5 linked regions of the Macaca mulatta genome follow. The protein of the gene in region 3 purifies or fractionates together with the protein of the main gene of each other region. This does not show direct contact. Links are inferred from orthologs where the notes say so. Each region holds a gene or a part of one and is shown on either strand. Other genes may lie near its edges. The genes, in order: OTUD4, SPAG5, MYCBP, ARFGEF1 and ARFGEF2.

The links.
Region 1: the proteins of MYCBP (region 3) and OTUD4 purify together in Homo sapiens (co-immunoprecipitation; 3 studies listed by BioGRID and IntAct, with this or other methods). This does not show direct contact. The link is inferred for Macaca mulatta from reciprocal best matches to the Homo sapiens genes MYCBP and OTUD4.
Region 2: the proteins of MYCBP (region 3) and SPAG5 purify together in Homo sapiens (co-immunoprecipitation; 3 studies listed by BioGRID and IntAct, with this or other methods). This does not show direct contact. The link is inferred for Macaca mulatta from reciprocal best matches to the Homo sapiens genes MYCBP and SPAG5.
Region 4: the proteins of MYCBP (region 3) and ARFGEF1 purify together in Homo sapiens (co-immunoprecipitation; 4 studies listed by BioGRID and IntAct, with this or other methods). This does not show direct contact. The link is inferred for Macaca mulatta from reciprocal best matches to the Homo sapiens genes MYCBP and ARFGEF1.
Region 5: the proteins of MYCBP (region 3) and ARFGEF2 purify together in Homo sapiens (co-immunoprecipitation; 4 studies listed by BioGRID and IntAct, with this or other methods). This does not show direct contact. The link is inferred for Macaca mulatta from reciprocal best matches to the Homo sapiens genes MYCBP and ARFGEF2.

Annotation. Positions count from the first base shown.
Region 1 is NC_133410.1:153,741,281-153,744,794, reverse strand, and holds part of OTUD4 (OTU domain-containing protein 4), read left to right. Parts: intron 1-1,635; coding exon 1,636-1,693; intron 1,694-1,943; coding exon 1,944-2,061; intron 2,062-2,154; coding exon 2,155-2,219; intron 2,220-3,514.
Region 2 is NC_133421.1:37,300,174-37,304,115, reverse strand, and holds the start of SPAG5 (sperm-associated antigen 5), read left to right. Parts: upstream 1-1,139; 5' UTR 1,140-1,287; coding exon 1,288-1,338; intron 1,339-1,598; coding exon 1,599-1,724; intron 1,725-3,942. UniProt on the Homo sapiens protein: Essential component of the mitotic spindle required for normal chromosome segregation and progression into anaphase. Required for chromosome alignment, normal timing of sister chromatid segregation, and maintenance of spindle pole architecture.
Region 3 is NC_133406.1:201,940,026-201,943,539, forward strand, and holds part of MYCBP (C-Myc-binding protein), read left to right. Parts: intron 1-2,447; coding exon 2,448-2,496; intron 2,497-3,061; coding exon 3,062-3,191; intron 3,192-3,514. UniProt on the Homo sapiens protein: May control the transcriptional activity of MYC. Stimulates the activation of E box-dependent transcription by MYC.
Region 4 is NC_133413.1:78,034,520-78,038,814, reverse strand, and holds the start of ARFGEF1 (brefeldin A-inhibited guanine nucleotide-exchange protein 1), read left to right. Parts: upstream 1-1,495; 5' UTR 1,496-1,585; exon of another isoform or gene 1,586-1,613; 5' UTR 1,614-1,835; coding exon 1,836-1,959; intron 1,960-4,295. Other genes in the region: uncharacterized protein LOC144330803, read right to left, coding at 957-1,328. UniProt on the Homo sapiens protein: Promotes guanine-nucleotide exchange on ARF1 and ARF3. Promotes the activation of ARF1/ARF3 through replacement of GDP with GTP. Involved in vesicular trafficking.
Region 5 is NC_133415.1:101,785,529-101,789,042, forward strand, and holds part of ARFGEF2 (brefeldin A-inhibited guanine nucleotide-exchange protein 2), read left to right. Parts: intron 1-1,027; coding exon 1,028-1,262; intron 1,263-2,228; coding exon 2,229-2,328; intron 2,329-3,048; coding exon 3,049-3,188; intron 3,189-3,514. UniProt on the Homo sapiens protein: Promotes guanine-nucleotide exchange on ARF1 and ARF3 and to a lower extent on ARF5 and ARF6. Promotes the activation of ARF1/ARF5/ARF6 through replacement of GDP with GTP. Involved in the regulation of Golgi vesicular transport.

The sequences.
Region 1 (3,514 bases), on a different chromosome or scaffold from region 3:
TGGGATTACAGGCATGCGCCACCAACCCGGCTAATTTTGTATTTTTAGTAGAAATGGGGTTTCCTCTGTGTTAGTCAGGCTGGTCTCGAACTCACAAACTCAGATGATCTGACCGCCTCGGCCTCCAAAAGTGCTGGGATTACAGGCCTGAGGCACTGTGGCCTCTTTTTTATAAAACCATCAGATCTTGTGAGAACTCACGATCATGAGAGCAGCGTAGGGGAAACCACCCACATGATTCAGTTATCTCCACCTGGTCTTGCCCTTGATACGTGGGGAGTATTACAATTCAGAATGAGATTTTGGCTGGGGGCACAAAGCTAAACTGTATCAGCCTACATCTCAACACTCATTTTTGCCTACTTATTTTTTTTTTTCCTTATAGCAGTTATCAGCATGTAACATACTCATTACTTACTAGTTTTTATCTGTTGTCACCAGATTGTACATTTCATGTAGGCAGAGTTTTTATTCTCTTAAATGCTAGACTCCAGCACCTAATAATACAGTCATCCCTTGGTGTATACCAGGGGATTCGGGACTCTTGAGTATACCACAGTCTGCACATATTCAAGTCCTGCTACGGGCCCTGTGAATCTGTTTATATGAAAAGCTGGCCCTCTGTGTACTTGGGTGTCACATCCCAAGAATACTGTATTTTCGATCTGCTTTTGGTTGGAAAAAAAGCTGTGTGTAAGTGGACCTGCACAGTTCAAACCTGTATTGTTCAAGAGCCAGCAGTGTACAGTGCATGGCACATAGTAGACACTCAGGTTAGTTATTGAGTATATGTGTAGGTATGTATGCGACAGTGAATTTAAAGGGCTGATGATGGTGCTTTCATTGTGCTGAACATTATTTGATGTAGAGTATTTTTTTTTTTTTTTTTTTGAGATGGAGTTTCGCTCTTGTTGCCCAGGCTGGAGTGCAGTGGTGTGAACTTGGCTCACTGCAACCTCCGCCCCCCAGGTTCAAGCGATTCTCCTGCCTCAGTCTCCCGAGTAGCTAGGATTATAGGCATGCGCTACCATGCCCAGCTAATTTTGTATTTTTAGTAGAGACAGGGTTTCTCCATGTTGGTCAGGTTGGTCTTGAACTCTCCAACTCAGGTGATCTGCCCGCTTCTGCCTCCCAAAGTGCTGAGATTGCAGGCGTGAGCCACCGCGCCCGGCTGATGGAGAGTGTTTTTAATAAAAGGGTTGTCGAATCTGCCTATAGATACTTTTGTTGTAAATCGATTTTTTTTTTTTTTTTAAAAACGGGTATATTGAAAGAAAGAAACTGGTATATTGAATTTACAGAACAATGTAAAAAGTTGCTTTCAATATACACGTGAGTAAATTCAATTATTCTACCCACCCAGATTTCACAGTTTATTTCTGTTCTCTTACTGATTACTGAGCCAGTTAGAATTACTGTTGTCTTTGACTTCTATCTTATATATATATACATTTACATACATATACTCTTTTATATATAGATATATTTATACCAAAACTTGTATGAGCTCACTGGAATATAGCTCTGACTTTTTGGAGCATAGTTCTGACTTTGAAGACTTTTAGATGAAGTTAGAAGGTAATTACATGCAAATACCTTTTTTCTGCCCCTAATTATGGTTATCTTTCTTTGTAGGAGTAAAACTGCTGCTGCTGCTGATGTGAATGGATTTAAACCTTTGTCAGACAATGAGGTATTTTTTTTTTAAAGTGGTTTTAAAACTAGCTCTTTAATATAAGAAAGCATATACATTAAAATCTTAATTTTTTTTCTTTTTTCTGGTACATTTCAGTCAAGTCAGGATCATCTAAGAAATTGATTTGGTGGCTTCCTAGTTTTTTGAAGTTTCTTTTCTTCATTTGACTTTAGTTTTACATGTATCTCAAACAAAAATGTTTTAAAAGCACTCGTGTTGATTGGACTTCTTGACTTTGTTTGTTTAGCAGCTGAAGAACAATGGGAACTCTCCTAGCCTGCCTTTGTCTAGAAAGGTTCTTAAGTCACTCAATCCTTCAGTCTATAGAAATGTGGAATATGAAATTTGGCTGAAGTCTAAACAAGGTGAGTTAAAAATCTGCATTTTCCATAAATTTGCTTTGTAGCACTTGAAAATAAGTCAACTTTATATTATACTGACCTTTTTTTTTTTAACAGCTCAGCAAAAACGTGATTATTCCATTGCTGCTGGCTTACAATATGAAGTTGGAGACAAATGTCAAGTAAGTGACTCATGTAAAATAAGAGATTTTACTTGAAACCTTGCTTTTTCTAATATGAACCGAGAAAACAACTGAGGTGTGAATATGTTGTTAATTTGGGATTTCAGAATATATTTATTATGTATATACATTTTAGTAGTTTACAAGTATTTAGGTTTTTGACTCATTTGAATACATTGTTAAAATTGTATGTATCTGAAACTGGCATTCCATCACATGATCTTTAAAAACAATTCAGCCTTTGGTATTAACTTGGTTCAAAGAAGTAATGATAATAACATATCAGATATTGAGGTTTTTTTGTTAAAATTGACTGAAATTGATTCAAAATTGACTATAGGTCATTTAGTTTTGTTTATGAAAATCATCTTGGATGATGTTGGTACATACATAATGTTTACTGTTGGACTGAGGAAGGAAAGTGAACCACAGAGAAGTTTTTGCCAATTAATTTGAATATGCAGCTGCCCTGGGTTTGAGTAGCTGATGGTTAAAAGGAGAAAGTTGGATTAAAATCAGTGTTTCTTAATCTAGTAGTTAACCCCCTCACTTCCTCCCCTGCCCCCCCTACCCCCACTGAACATTCAGCAGTGTGGAGAAATTTTTTACTGTCACAACTGGGAGGGTGCTACTGACATCTAGTGGGTAGAGGCCAAAGCTGTAGCCAAATAGTCTACAGTGCACAGAACAGCCTCCCTCATCTCCCTCTAACAAAGAATACCTAGTCCAAAGTGTCAGTAATGCTTAGGCAGAAGAAACCCTAGGTAAGATAATTTACACGGTCTCTTCTTGTTTTTTGTTCCTTGTTTATGGAAAAATATTGCTATTTCAAAAACAAAAACAAAACCACATACACAAAAAATGTTATGTAGAAGTTAATTCTCATCAGAAATCATTTCCATCAAAAAGTGTTGCCTTTTAAAAAACTACTTTAAAACAGCCATTGGCAAACATTTATTTTTGACTTACAGAGGAAACATTTACTTTATGATAAATTGGCTTTTGTGAAGTCATCTGATTAGCCAGGATTTTATCTTAAGAACCTTTAATAGTTCTCGTTCTGGGGTATTTAAAGGTGAGGAAAAAGAGAACATGATTCATTCAGGTACTGCCTTATGGGATTGTCATAAATCTGCTCTAATTGTAGAAGGAAATTGTGGAAGCTTTTACTACATTGATTGGGAAAACTTGAAAGAGAACAAACGAGATTAAATCTAGGGTTTAAAGGTCTCTCTCCTCACCCTTTTCAACAGAGAAGAGAAGATGGCTTATGCTGTATCATTAAAGTCATGTTA
Region 2 (3,942 bases), on a different chromosome or scaffold from region 3:
TCGAACTCCTGGGTTTAAAGGATCCCCCTGCCTCTGCCTCCTCCGTGCGGGGATTACAGGCAGGAGCCATGGCACCTGGTGCTATTTTGCATTTTTTTTCATACCAAGTGTTTGAAATCCAGTTTGTACAGTGTTTTACATTTATAGCACATTCCCACTGGGACTAGTCACATTTGAGGTGCTCAAAAGCCACTATGGCTAGGGCTAATGTATTGGACAACACAGTGCTAGGGAGCCCGTCCTGAGGACGCTGCAGTTTATAACATCATAGTTCCTACTCTTTGGACTGCTGCTTTCCCCCAATGTATTAAGACTTGCAGAGTGTAAATAGGGCGCCGTGAGTGTGCAAAGGAACACACCTTCGCAAACGGCTCACTCTGAATACTTACTTTTCGGCTGTCCTACCTTCAATAGGCTTCCCGTGCACAAGCAGAAGGCAGGAGCTGGCGGGGCGGGGAGGAAGGGCGGCTCTGCCATTTAACTATCTGTGCGATGCTGAGCAAATTACACACGGTCTCTCTGACTCAGCTCCTTCCTGTTTCAAATGGGTATTATAGTATTTCTCACTACGTGGGTCCTTATGCGGATTAAATGAGCTACTACACGCCATTCGGCACAGCGCCAGGCACACACTCAATGTTCAATACATGTAGGCGGTAAGCCCAGTAAACTGGTAGCCGGCCTGAGCAAGTCCCAGGAAAAGCCCAGAAACTCTGGAGACATTACAGCCCAGGTCAAGAACCACGGCCCAGGCCGTCCTGTACGCGGGCCCACCAAGCCTAGGGAAGCAGCTTGTCACCGCTTCGGCTTCTAGACTCCCTGGCCGGCTCTTTCCCGTCAAGGCTGCGGCTGGAGGGGCCTGAGGGAGACCTAGGGAGCGGCTTCCTCTTTCCATCCACGGAGACAACTTGGATGTGAACACCATGAATGTGAGGAGGTCCACTGGAATCAGGAGGGATGGACTCCTGGACTCCCCAGCTACCTGCGGGGTCCTTCCCGGTGTGAGGACACAAGACCTGTCCTGGGCCGGGCCCGCATCCAGCCCTACAGTCGGTGTCTGCGGTGAGGGCTCCGTCAGCTGAAAGCGCGTGACAACCCACGGGCTGGCAGGACCGGGGGCGTGGTCAACGCGGGACCCGCCCCCGTCCCCGGGCCCCAGCGCCGAGCGGACGCGCCCGCCTGAAGCAGCCAATTGGGAAGCGCAGAGCAGGTTCAAACACAGACGGCGGGTGAACATGGCGTCCTCGACTTGGTTTGAGACGTGATCGGCCTGCCTTCTGGCTGAAGATGTGGCGGGTGAAAAAACTGAGCCTTAGCCTGTCGCCTTCGCCCCAGACGGTGAGCGGGAGAGCTCCGGCGGAGAGAGCTGGGCCGGGCTGCTGGCGCGGGGGCACCGGCCGTGTCGACTGTCCTGGAAAGTTGGGTCGAGCCCGGGGTTGGGTGCTTGTGGAGTCTTTGTTCGCCTTGCCGCTCCTGCGCGACTAGAATGCGAGCCTACTCTTCTAATCACCTCTTGGGCTTCTTAGGGAGGGAGGAAGGGCGGGCTAGCAGAGCCCAGGCTTCCTCACACTAGCCCTCTTTCTTGATTTCTTTCTCAGGGAAAACCAGCTATGAGAACTCCTCTCCGCGAACTTATCCTGCAGCCCGGTGCCCTCACCAACTCTGGAAAAAGGCCCCCCGCTTGCTCCTCGCTGACCCCATCACTGTGCAAGCTGGGGCTGCAGGTGAGATTCGCCTGGACAGCTTCTCGACTGGGCTGTTTGCCCAGGGTGAGAGCTCAGGGGAACAGAGGGCCAGGGCTAGAATAATTAATAACGATAATGAAGTCTTCTACGTCACTGACATCCATTTACAGCTATTCAGGCCAACAGAGAGGTGCCCTAGGGTGGTTAAAGGAAACCTACTGAGAACCTGAATCTCTGTTTAGCTGTTAGTTTTTATTACCTCCTCCTCCTCCTCCCTTCGACCTTTATCAAACTACTTAGAAATCCTGCCACTCTGATTAGTGCTCTTCCTCCAACATGGGGTCACTTATGGAAAGGTCAGTCAGCTGTAAGATTGAGGCAATATCCATTCACTCTAGGAGGTAGTCAGAACTCTCCTGGGATCAAGTTACACCACTGGAAGGCAGGGTACTTGGATCACCTTAGTTTAAACTAGCCCCTTGCAGAATTGCCCTCACTGATTTGTACTTTTGTTAAACGTCTTGAGAGATGTACCCATGTAGAAACTGCATTTCAGTTGCTGTCAAAACTTGTCAAGGAAGAAGCTTGACTCCTGTATAAGATTCCTCAAAGAAAGGCTTTGGGACTAACTGCCTGGAAAAATTGTCTTCCTGAAGAAATTGCTATCCTTTTCTTTCTGATAATGAGAACTATGCAGTTTACCATATTTTCCCTCTTGCTCTGCCTTCTAGAAAGCTCAAGGCCAAACTGGATCATCACATACAGCTACTGTTACTCGCAAAATAGGAAGTTTTGCTTCCTCTTTTTTGACCATGACTTTGTTATTTCATTAATCATATCTATTCATTTTCATGCATATGAATTATTTTTGGAAGGAGATGGGATATCAGTAAAATTGGTTTGAGGAGGAAAGAGTGTATAAAGACAGATGACATCCTGAGTAACAGTAGGATGATAGCAGTCTTTCTTGAAAGAGTTACAAAATACCTACTGTCCAATAGAACTTTCTGGGATGAGGGAAATATTTGATAATCTGTGCTGTCCAGCATGGTAACTACTAGTCACATGGTTACCGAGCACTTAAAATGTGGCTGAGGTGACTGAAGAATTGAATTTTTTTGTTTTTGAGATGGGAGTCTTGCTCTGTCACCCAGGCTGGAGTGCAGTGGAGTGATCTTGGCTCACTGCAATCTCTGCCTCCAGGGCTCAAGGGATTCTCCTGCCTCAGGCTCCTGAGTAACTGGGATTACAGGTGCATGCCACCACACCCAGGTAATTTTTTGTATTTTTAGTAGAGATAGGGTTTCACAATGTTGGCCACGCTGGTCTCAAACTCCTGACCTCAAGTGGTCCGCCTGCCTCGGCCTTCCAAAGTGCTGGGATTACAGGTGTGAGCCGCTGCGCCTGGCCTGAAGAATTGAATTTTTAATTAAATTAAATTAAATTTTTTTTTTTTTTTTTTTTTGAGATGGAGTTTCGCTCTTGTTGCCCAGGTTGGAGTGCAATGGTGTGATCTCGGCTCACTGCAACCTCTGCCTCCCAGGTTCAAGCAATTCTCCTGTCTCAGCCTCCGGCATGTGCCACCACGCCCAGCTAATTTTTGTATTTTCAGTAAAGATGGGGTTTCTCCACGTTGATCGGGCTGGTCTCGAACTCATGACCTCAGGTGATCTGCCCGCCTTCGCCTCCCAAAGAGCTGGGATTATAGGCGTGAGCCACTGCGCCTGGCCTGAATTTTTAATTTAAATAGCTACGTGTGACAGGTAGCTATCATATTAGACAGTACAGCTTAAGGTGGAAAATAAATAAGTACTAGGTAGAAATTGAGCTCTATAGAGCTTATAGAATTTATTATGATTATTAATTAATTTATTTATTTTGAGATGCAGTTTCGCTCTTGTTCCGTAGGCTAGAGTGCAATGGCATGATCTTGGCTCACTGCATCCTCTGCCTCCTCGGTTCAAGCGATTCTCCTGCCTCAGCCTCCCTAGTAGCTGGGATTACAGGCATGTGCCACCACGCCTGGCTAATTTTCGTATTTTTAGTAGAGATGGGGTTTCGCCATATTGGCCAGGCTGGTCTCGAATTCCTGACCTCAGGTGATCCACCTGCCTCAGCCTCCCAAAGTGTTGGGATTACAGGCGGGAGCCACAGCACCTGGCCTGAGCTTATAGAATTTAACCATGATTATTTAATCACAATAGCAGAATACTAGATTGAAATTGAATTCTCCTTCCCTCTTAACTACTGGGCGTAC
Region 3 (3,514 bases):
CGCCACCACGCCCAGCTAATTTTTTGTATATTTAGTAGAGACAGGGTTTCATCGTGTTAGCCAGGATGGTCTTGATCTCTTGACCTCGTGATCCGCCTGCCTAGGCCTCCCAAAGTGCTGGGATTACAGGCGTGAGCCACCATGCCCGACCAGTTTTTTTTTTTTTTTTGGGTAAGTCGGGGTTTTGCCCAGGTTGATCTCAAGCAATCCTCCTGCCTTGGCCTCTCAAAGTGCTGGAATTTCAGGCATGAGCCACTGTGTCTGGCCTAAATTTTTTACAGCTTATTTCCAAGATGATTTGAAATAGTTTATAACATTAAAACACTATGAAAGGATGGCTAAAGATAAAGATGATAAATCATTTGGAAGCTGAAGCATTTTAGCTATTTTGAGCAGTATATCAACCTCTAAAAATCCTGGCTACGAAGGCAAAAAGGGGTGCACGATTGGGTATAGAGTTCTTGTCTGATTAGAAGGAAGTGCATTTCATTTATAGAAAAACACAGGAAACTTAGTATTTACAGTATCTTCTGCAATGATCAACCTTGTAAGTACCACTGACAGAAATTAGAAGCCGAGAGAAATGGGGTGGGGGAATAAGAGGAGAGGAAAGAGTATTAATATTCATGTCTTATAAAATTAGGATTTGGCTGGGTGTTCATGCCTGTAATTCCAGAACTTTGGGAGGCTGAGGAGGGCGGATCACCTGAGGTCGGGAGTTCGAGACTAGTGTGACCAACATGGAGAAATCCCGTCTCTACTAAAAATACAAAATTAGCCGGGCATGGTGGTGCATGCCTGTAGTCCCAGCTACTAGAGAGGCTGAGGCAGGAGAATCGCTTGAACCTGGGAGGCGGAGGTTGTGGTGAGCGGAGATTGCATGCCTTTGCACTCCCGCCTGGGCAACAAGAGCGAAACTCCGTCTCAAAAACAAACAAAAACAACGAATTTCTCAAAAAATAGTGCCGTTAAGTGTATTTAGATGAAGAGTAACTATCACAACTCAATGTAAGTTGTTAAAAATAGTTGCCCATTTGATTTTTTCATACTGTATATTATTTTGGTAAGTTGTTAAAACTCTAAAACAAAAGAAGTATGTAAGTTGGTTTACAACAGGACTTAACTTGAGGTCTAGATATCTATCACTGTTTTTTTTTCTTTTAGACAGAGTCTTGCTCTGTTGCCCAGGCTGTAGTGCAGTGGCATGATCTCAGCTCACTGTAAGCTCCACCTCCTAGGTTCACGCCATTTTCCTGCCTCAGCCTCCTGAGTAGCTGGGACTACAGCTGCTGGCCACCATGCCCAGCTAATTTTTTGTATTTTTAGTAGAGACGGGGTTTCACTGTGTTAGCCAGGATGGTCTTGATCTCCTGACCAGGTGATTTGCCCGCCTCGGCCTCCCAAAGTGATGGGATTACAGGCGTGAGCCACTGCGCCCAGCCACATTTTTTTGTGTGTGGTTGCTTTTTTTGCTTTTATTAAATTTTTCAAAGGGTTCCATGCACAAAAAGGCCAACCACTAAATTAGAGTTTTTTTATCGAAGTAGTAAATTCTAGGAAGAATTTGTTCCATAGATGAAGAGCAAGGCAGTGCTCATATGAGTGATTAGATATGAAACCACTCAAGTATATCTTATTTTAATGTTGATTTGAGCATGTTGACTACAGGTAAAATTTTTGATTAGTGGTTATTTAGCAAAACAAACTTCACTTTTAAGACCATGTTTGAATTCAGAGCGTCTTCCAGTAATTACCATAGTCCTGTTGATTCTTTCCTAAATTCTCGAATTTCTTTCTTCTCACTGTTCTATCACTCCCATCACTCTACTGCAGGTTGCTGTCTTTTTAAACTGGATTACCACATCAGCCTTTTAACCGTTCTTCCTGTCTTTATCCTCATCCCACTCCAGCTGGTTCACATAGCAGTTAAGAGTGGATCCTGTCACTCCCTTCCTTAAAACTGTTTAATTATATGCCAACCAAATTTGCATGACCCTCCATAATGTGGCCATGACCACCTTTCCAGCTTCCTTTCCTGCCAAATTACATCTCCAGCCATACTTGAATTTTCAGTTCCTCAATACATTGTTTTCTTGCTCCTGGGCCTTCCCATTTTAAAACACTCATCCCCTAGGTATCAGGTCTTTGCCTTCCTTTAGGAATCCTTCCTTGATGTCCTAGGCTTGCTTAGGTGTTCTTCCAGTGTGCTATCGTAACCCATTATCCAGTATTACTGCTTGATACCCTCTAGTTCCTTGCATATCTTTTACGCTTGACTGTAAATTTGTTGAGAACAGGGACCTTGTCTGTCTTGTTCAGCATTGTATAGTCTTTGCAACGTGCTCAGCATATAGTTGGCACCTAATATTTACTGGGTAATGGAATATAATTTCAGCCATTCAAATTGAATACGTCAATTGTTGCTTTTTCTGCTTTTTGATTTGCAGTGTTGGTAGCCTTATATGAAGAACCAGAGAAACCTAACAGTGCTTTGGAGTATCCTTTCATCTTTCAAGTCAGAAAAAGGCTTTATTTTGAAACTCTTATTTTTTTAGATAGATAATAACCTTTAAAATACTTCTGAATATTGAGAAAGTTAGTTTTTTTTTTTTTTTTTTTTTTTTTGAGACGGAGTCTTGCACTGTTGCCTGGTGGGGAGTGCAGTGGTGTGATCTTGGCTCACTGCAACCTCCGCCTCCCGGCTTCAAGCGATTCTCCTGCCTCAGCCTCCCAAGTAGCTGGGATTACAGGTGCCCGCCACCATGCCCAGCTAATTTTTTGTATTTTTAGTAGAGACAGCGTTTCACTATGTTGGTCAGGCTAGTCTCAAACTCCTGACCTCATGATCTGCCCACCTTGGCCTCCCAAAGTGCTGGGATTACAGGCGTGAGCCACCATGCCCGGCCGAGAAAGTTACTTTCACTTGAGTTTTTGGATGGTGATCTCTGGGTAGATATTGGTGGTAAAGTGGGTGACTCTGGTCAGGGATATTGATACTACTCTGTGCTATTTCATTAGTTTCATTCATGTCTAATAAGTAAGTTCTTAACATTGATAATAGTTTTTTAAAGCATCACTTAGGAGCTGCTACCCCAGAGAATCCAGAAATAGAGCTGCTTCGCCTAGAACTGGCTGAAATGAAAGAGAAATATGAAGCTATTGTAGAAGAAAATAAAAAACTGAAAGCAAAGGTAAAATTTTAAAAATAAGTCATGTGAAGATAATTTTACCTGTAATAATTATATGATGAAAACCTCACTAAAATGGACAGGAGGGGAGGAAGGTGGGTGAATATCAATTTGAATTAATTGCAAAGGCCAAAGTTATGCTGTGTCTAGAAGACCACAAGACAGGCTGGGCGTGGTGGCTCGTGCCTGTAATTCCAGCACTTTGGGAGGCCAAGGTGGGCAGATCACGAGGTCAAGAGTTCAAGACCAGCCTAGCCAACATGGTGAAACCCTGTCTCTACTAAGAATACAAAAATTAGCCAGGCATGGTGGCATGTGCCTGTAAT
Region 4 (4,295 bases), on a different chromosome or scaffold from region 3:
TGGAACTTGTTCTAAAAAAGTTTATTAACGTATACACAGAAATCAGTATTATACCTGATCTAAGAGTATAATGAATCCTTTATTTCCAGTAATCTAGAGATAGTCTCTAAAATAAAATTAATTAATTTATAGATTTGTTTCTCAGGACAATAAAGTTTAAAAAAATTAATCTATTTTTCCACTTTAATTTGTCACCTTCAAGTTTTCCATTTTATTTCCTCTGGGTTTTAGCCTTCTCAAATCCGGTCACTTCACTAAGTTCACAGTCACTTAAGTTTCTCCTTCCTTAGGTTTGGATGGTTGCGTTAGGACAAGCCTACAGTTAAGCAATGAACAGTGACAGATGCATACTAAATACTAGGGAACCTGTGTGGATGGAGCCACAGTAGCTTAGAACTCGGAGACGTGACCCTAGATCACCATATAAAATGTTTGCATATATTTTTATGGTATTCTTTTTCTGCTCAGAAGGAAACTGTAGAAATTAAATATTGCAGAAATTTGAGTTCTACACTCAGACTAATGCAAACACATGGTCACGTGTGTTAATCTGTTTGCACTTAAAGCTTTTCCATTCTAAACTTGTTTACATGTCCTGGACTAAATCTTAGTATTAAAGGCACAGAAACACAGGGCTCTACGGAACCTCATTCACAACCATTCACCTTAACTGAGTCGATTCAGAAGGGACCTGAAGTCTAGAGTTGACCGATTCATCCGACAGAGAGAGAAAAAAGTGAAACATTTTCCAACCCTTATCATAGGTTTTGGCTTACTTTTCCCAAAACAGAATCCTCCCTGAGGTAGTCGGAGAGCACAGTCCTGGATAGCAGTTCCGTGCACCGGGGAAGGAGGAAATTTTAGAGTCCAGTGATGCAGGCGGAGACCCAGTGTGGCTGAGAACTGGCGATGCGGGTGTTCCTGTGACCCCTGGAATGCAAAGGATTGCACCCCCATCAGAAAGTTAGAGGAGCCGATGCAGAGTAGCCAGAAGTCCTGTTCATTCGGCAGGAGCAGGGGTGCCGAGTGGGGGGGATCTCCGGTTCCGCAGCTCGGCCGCAGCCAAGAGCCCGAAGTGCTGGGCGCGGCGCCACCAGAGGCCCGCCACGCCCCACGCCGCCCTGCAGGCGAACGCTGGAGGCCCCGCCGGGCCGCCGTAGCGCTGCGGCTCGGCCCGCTCCTTCCGCGCCGCCCTCCGCCCCCAGCCTCCCGGCGCCGCGGTAGCTCTGGGCAGGCAGCGCCGCCGCCGCCGCCGCCGCCGCCGCTGCTGCTGTTTCCTCCTCTGCAGCCGTTCGGCCGCTGCGTGACGCGTCGTTTCCTCCCAACATGGCGGCCGGGGCAGGTCGGCGGTGATGGAGGCCAGTTCGCGGCCGCGGCGGGTGCTAATCCCCACAGTAGCCAGGGTAGCCCTCCTCTCGCGGTGCCTGTGAGAGCCGCCGCCACCTAGTCCCTCATTTCCCGGCAGACAGCCGCCCAGGCCGGGCTCCGTTACCGCCGCCAGGGCCGGAGGGACGAGTGAGAGGGGCGGCCGGGACGCGACCCCCGGGCCGGGAGAAGCTGAGGCCCGACGGGCGCGGCCCTCGAGGTACGGCTTCTCGGGCGCGGCCCTCGAGGTACGGCTTCTCGGGCGCGGCGAGGACCTCGACGCTCCTCGGCGGCACCGCGGCTAGTCTCGCTCGCCCGCCCCTTCCTGATCCTGCCGCTGCCCTCCACGCCTCCACTCCCCCACCTCCACCCCCTCTCCTTTCTCTCTTCTCTTCCTTCTTCTCCTCCTCCTCCCCTCCAGCCGCTGGGAGCCGCGGGTCGGACGAGCCGCCGCCTCCTTCTCTGCGTCCATGTATGAGGGGAAGAAGACGAAGAACATGTTCCTGACCCGGGCCCTGGAGAAGATACTGGCCGACAAGGAAGTGAAGAAGGCGCATCACTCCCAGCTGCGCAAAGCTTGCGAGGTGGCATTAGGTGAGTGGGGAGGAGGCCCGGGGGATGGGGTGCTTGTTGTGGGGCGGGGGGACAAGGGGGGCGCCCGTGGGGGGCTGGGGTCGCCCGAGGCTTGCCCGAGGCCCGCGCTTCTGACCTCGGGGAGCCCTCGCGGAGCTCTCTGCTCCCTGTCTGGAGTTGATAGGAACTCGGCTGGATGTGGGGCAGAGGCAGGGTAGGGGAGGAAGGGCGGTGAGCTGGGCTTGGGAAACTCGGCCGGGCATAGGATCGCGAGGCACCTGGGTTCGAGGGATCGACTTGAGAGTGAGGATTTTGTTGGTGGTCCGTGAGGTGCGGACTGGATACCACCCTTTGTGATGAAGCAGAAGATGAGCTGTTGTTTATTAGCTTGGAAATTGAGGTGGGGCCGGTATGTCAAGATTGGGCGTGGGAAATGTTCCATATCATAATTATCAATAACTTTTTCGTTTAGCGAGGTACTTTGGGGAGATAGGCTGCTGAAGTTGTTTCCTTGTTGACAGTCTTGAGAAGGGGTTCAGAAGAGGTGCAGCCGGTTCTGACATCTCTCCGCCTCTGCCACAGGAAAAACATAGAGTAATATTGTATCTGACTGGGCTGACCTGGAAGAACAAGTCCGGTGGTTAAGGGGTGGGGGTGGCGGCGTGAAAGCAGGGAAGCAAAGAACCTTTAGATAAAATGGCTTTAGGTGACAAGGGAAGGGAGGGTTTGAAATGAGGAAAATGAAAAAGACAATGACACCCACTAGCCACATGTCTGGACAGTGGCAGCTGTTCTCAAGCTTGAATTGTGATTTATAGTTCAGATGGAAGAGATCTAGTGTAATGAAGCCCGCAGCAGGGAAAATCTAAACAATACCTCCTGCCTATGAGGTTAGGCAGATAAGGAATAGTTAAAGGGGGAACATTGTTAGATCTATTGCATCCATCAAAGATGAAATCGTTTGAGAGACCATTTAACACAAAGATGCATTCCTAATGCTTACACTTTATAGCACTGGAAATACACTAAGTCAAATTGGCAAGAAAAGGAAGCTTGCTAAATAGGCTTTGGAAAAAAGCCTTCTTGAAAGGGAGAAAATCCACAATAAAGTATGCTAAAGTTAAGGAGTCAAGACAAGTTAAAATTAGTTTTTAATTATCAAAATAAGTAGAAGACTACTATTTAATTTGCTGTGATATACCGTAGTTTTTTTTCCCCTAGATCGTTAAAATTGGTAATATGGAAAACGTCAAAGAAATTTCATCTTAAAAAATTTGAGTGTGTAGTATAAGGGGCTTAAGTTTGTTTTTTCACCTTATTCATCGACTTGAAGTTTGCATTTTGTTATTTTTGTTGGTAACAAAAGACTGTTCCCCGTGTATGAGAATACCGTTGTCTAGTGGCAGAAACTGTATTTATATCTAGATCCTGAAAGGAATAATTAAATTGGGGTGGGACTGGGGAGAAAGTGATTTTAGAATTTTTAAAATAATTGTTATATGTAGGTTTATAAATTACTTGAAGGTGAAAGAACTTTAGAGAGATTCAAATTAAAGTTTAAAATTTTTGTTTGTTGAGACAGGGGCTTGCTCTGTCACCCAGACTGAAGCACAGTGGCACAATCAGGGCTCACTGCCACCTCAAACTCCCAGGATCAGGCATTCCTCCTGCCTCAGCCTCCCAAGTAATTGGGGCTTCAGGCACACCGCCACACCTGGCTAATTTTTTTTTTTTTTGGGGTGGAGATGGTGGTCTCTCTATATTGCCCAGGTTGGTCTCCAAGTCTGGGCTCAAGAGACCTCCCACCTTAGCCTCCCAAAGTGCTGGGTTTATAGGTGTGAGCTACCTCTCCTGGCCTTAATTTTTTATAATTCAGATTTTTCATGTTACAACATATTTTTAATACATTAAATTGTAAGTATCAAACTGAAGAAATGGAGTGTGTTGTGTGTATGTATATATTTTCCTTCTCCAAAATGGTAACATAAATAAGCATATTTTAATGGAGAGCCTACTGGAATGAGAGTCAGAGATCCTATATTTAAATCCCAGTTGTGTTACGTCGTTGTATTTAGCAAGTCCCTGGGCCTTAAGTTTTCTGTAAAATTAGGGTATTGAACTTAATGATTGTATGGTCACATCTCCTCTAATGTGCCATGAATGTGATTGCACTGTCCTGTTAACTCATGCATTGGGTATTCCCTACCACTCATGAGCATCATCTTTAGAGGGCCTATGTAGGGCTCTAAATGGTCCTTGCCATTTCTGGAGGTAGGGATTACTTGATATGTGTGCCAACTGTAGCAGCGTTGTCTATTCCAGATTTTGCCAGTTTTTACTTTTTTGTCCCTTCTGTA
Region 5 (3,514 bases), on a different chromosome or scaffold from region 3:
GAAAGAGCTGCATTTAGATCTTGGCTCCTCCACCTGAGAGCAGTTCCTTGGTTATATGTCTTACCAAGCCTCATCTGAAAAATGGGAATATGGAAAATCATCTTACAGGATTGATTAAATGAAATATCGGTGTTGTCCTGAGCATGGAGCCTTGTACTTTATAAATTGTCACTGTTGTTCCTGTCATTAGTCATTAATAATAATCTTCAATTCATCTATTGTGAATGCTGCTAATACTATGATAGGTATTAGGAAAATAGGCCAGGTGTGGTGGCTCACCCCTATAATCCCAACACTCTGGGAGGCCGAGGTGGGTGGATCACTTGAGGCCAGGAGTTTGAAACCAGCCTGGCCAACAAGACAAAACCCCATCTCTACTAAAAATACAAAAATTAGCTGGGTGTGCTGGTACGCACCTGTAATCCCAGCCACTCAGGAGGCTGAGGCAAGAGAATCACTTGAACCCAAGAGGCAGAGGTTGCAGTGAGCCGAGATCGTGTCACTGAACTCTAGCCTGGGCAACAGAGCAACAGTAAATTTTAAAAAATAAAAATAAGTGTTAAGAAAATAGTTCATGAAAGTGTACCATTTCTTACCATACCTGAACTCAGGGATGGGCAGCGGTGAGGGAGGGCTGTGAGGTAGGTGGATAAAGAGCACCGTCTTCATGGTGTGTTAAGATAGGGTGAGCCAGGTGTCTCAGCCTCCCACAAGTGATGTAAAGTCATTGATTCTCTCAGTGCAGTTGTAGAACCTGCTCTCCAGAATCAGTTGACACTTTGCTCCTGCTGTATTCTCTACTTTGTGATGGAGAGAGACAAAAAGGAATTGGCAGCTCTTGTTCTCAAAGGGCCTGCAATTCCAGAAGGACCCACCTCATGCCATCTGCCCTGATTCTCCTGACATTTAGGTGCTATTAATTCTTTATACTTCTGCTCATTGGTAGAGGAGCAAGGCCTTCTCAAGAAACATACTGTTTGACATTTTTTCTTTTAGCACTGTTACGGTTTTTCATTTTCTTTGCCAGATCCCATGAGCTGCGTTCCAAGGTGGTTTCCCTGCAGCTGCTTCTCTCTGTGTTACAAAATGCTGGCCCCGTATTTAGGACTCACGAGATGTTCATCAATGCAATCAAGCAATATCTCTGTGTGGCCTTGTCCAAAAACGGCGTCTCTTCAGTGCCTGATGTCTTTGAGCTGTCTCTTGCCATTTTTCTTACTCTTCTTTCAAACTTTAAAATGCACTTGAAAATGCAGATAGAGGTATGGACTCCAAAGTTTTTTCATTTGATTGTTTACTATTATTAATAATAATACTCAATGTTGAGAATGCTGCTAATATTATACACTAAGCATTAGGAAAATGGTTCGTGAAAATGTTTCATATCTTACCATCCGGAACTCAGGAGTGGGCAAGGGCAGGGAGGGTAAATGGCATACTCATCAGCTGGCACCCCAGTAAATCAGAACTTTTTAAATGAGTAAGAGAGTATCTTTTTATAAAAAGTTACTGCCCTCAGGCTGGGCACAGTGGCTCATGCCTGTAATCCCAGCACTTTGGGAGGCTGAGGCGGGCGGATCACGAGGTCAGATTGAGATCATCCTGGCTAACATGGTGAAACACTGTTTTTACTAAAAATACAAAAAAATTAGCCAGGCGAGGTGGTGGGCGCCTGTAGTCCCAGCTACTCGGGAGGCTGAGGCAGGAGAATGGCATGAACCCAGGAGGCAGAGCTTACAGTGAGCTGAGATTGCGCCACTGCGCTCCAGCCTGGGCAACAGAGCGAGACTCTGTCTCAAAAAAAAAAAAAAAAGTTACTGCCCCCAGATCTTATGTGCCTTTCATTTTAACCAAAGGATATGGGCTATATGCTGGGCTCGCCCCTTAAACATGTCTGTTTGGTCTGTAAATTGTTTGAAATCATTTAGATTAGTTGCCAAATTGAGAAATCCTATCTTACATGAAACTCCAGATTTCTGGTTTCTCTCCAAAAAGTCACAACATGGGTCCTGCATTTCCACTTGGCAGCTCCCCTGATGGCCCCTACCCTGCCAGCCGTCCCCACCAAGGCCAGGGTCCTGACGCTGCCCAGCCGGGCGGGCGCTCCACTCTCCTGCCCAGGGTGCTTTACTTACTGCAGGATCGGGTTGGCTTCTGAAGACTTTGGAGGTTTTGAGCCCTGGTTGAAACTGTTAATTAGTGTCCTCCTTTGTCTTTATGTCATATAGGTCTTTTTCAAAGAAATTTTCTTGAACATTTTAGAAACATCAACAAGTTCTTTTGAGCACAGGTGGATGGTCATTCAGACTCTGACGAGGATCTGTGCAGGTATTTTCACCTGGGGACACTCATCCACTGGACTTTTGATGCTTTAATTTGCCAAAGCTCAGATTAAGACTTTTAACTCCTCCTTTTAGAGTTTTAAAGAAGGATTGGAAATAAAAGGCTAATTCTAACCTAGTCCTGTCCCACCTCTCCTTTTTTAGAGGATGACCAACTCAGGCTGGTTTGCCAAGGACTTCCTGGTTTTAGCACTAAGTCTCATGTCCCAGAAACCCCCTAATCTCATCAAACTGGAACACTTGGTTACATTACCTACAAGCTGAGTACTGTTAGTCACAGGACCTAAGATATTGGTGCTGCCAATTTTTGATTGGGTGCTATGGTAAATGTGGATTTACCTTACACTATACAATTGTGTGGCCTCAAAGTAAGCATCCTGCTTGTCTGGCATCTAATGTATTTTTATAAGAGTGACACAACTTTAAGAGGTGGATCAGGCAATTGTTAGCCCCTTCCTTGATGAGAAAAGTGAGCCTTGGACGGGTGGAATGAACCGCCTGAGATTTCAGTTTGCTCAGAAGCGGGCCTGAAAACAACCTCCTCTCTGCCAGCTTCCTAGTACTTCCAACATGTGTTTCCTGAGTGAGATGCGGCCACTGGAGCCTGTAGTTCACTGGGGAAATTTGTTGGCAAACATCTTGTTTGATAAGAAAACATAACTGCTATTTGATCAGAATTTCTGATACTTGTATGTTATTTTCCAAGATGCCCAGTGTGTTGTGGATATTTATGTCAACTACGACTGTGATTTAAATGCTGCTAACATTTTCGAGCGCCTTGTAAATGATTTATCCAAAATTGCTCAGGGAAGAAGTGGACATGAGCTGGGAATGACACCTCTGCAGGTAAAAACACTGTGGACACTCAATTGTATTAAAGTTTATTCATTCCAATAAACATTTATTGAGTGCCACCACATGCCAGGCACTGTCCTTGATATAGCAGTGAACAAAACAGGCATACGTATTCTCACATTTCCTGCCATCATAAAACGACATTAAAGAAGTCAGTTCAGATGATCATAAGGTCTGCAGAGAAGAAGAATAAAGCAGGGACGGCAGAGAGGAAGTGCTGGAGGTGGGGTGCTGTAATTCTTAATGGAGTCATTAGGGTAGTATCCCTTAGAAGGTGACCTTTGAGCTGAGACCCATAGGAAGCAAATTCATTCTCA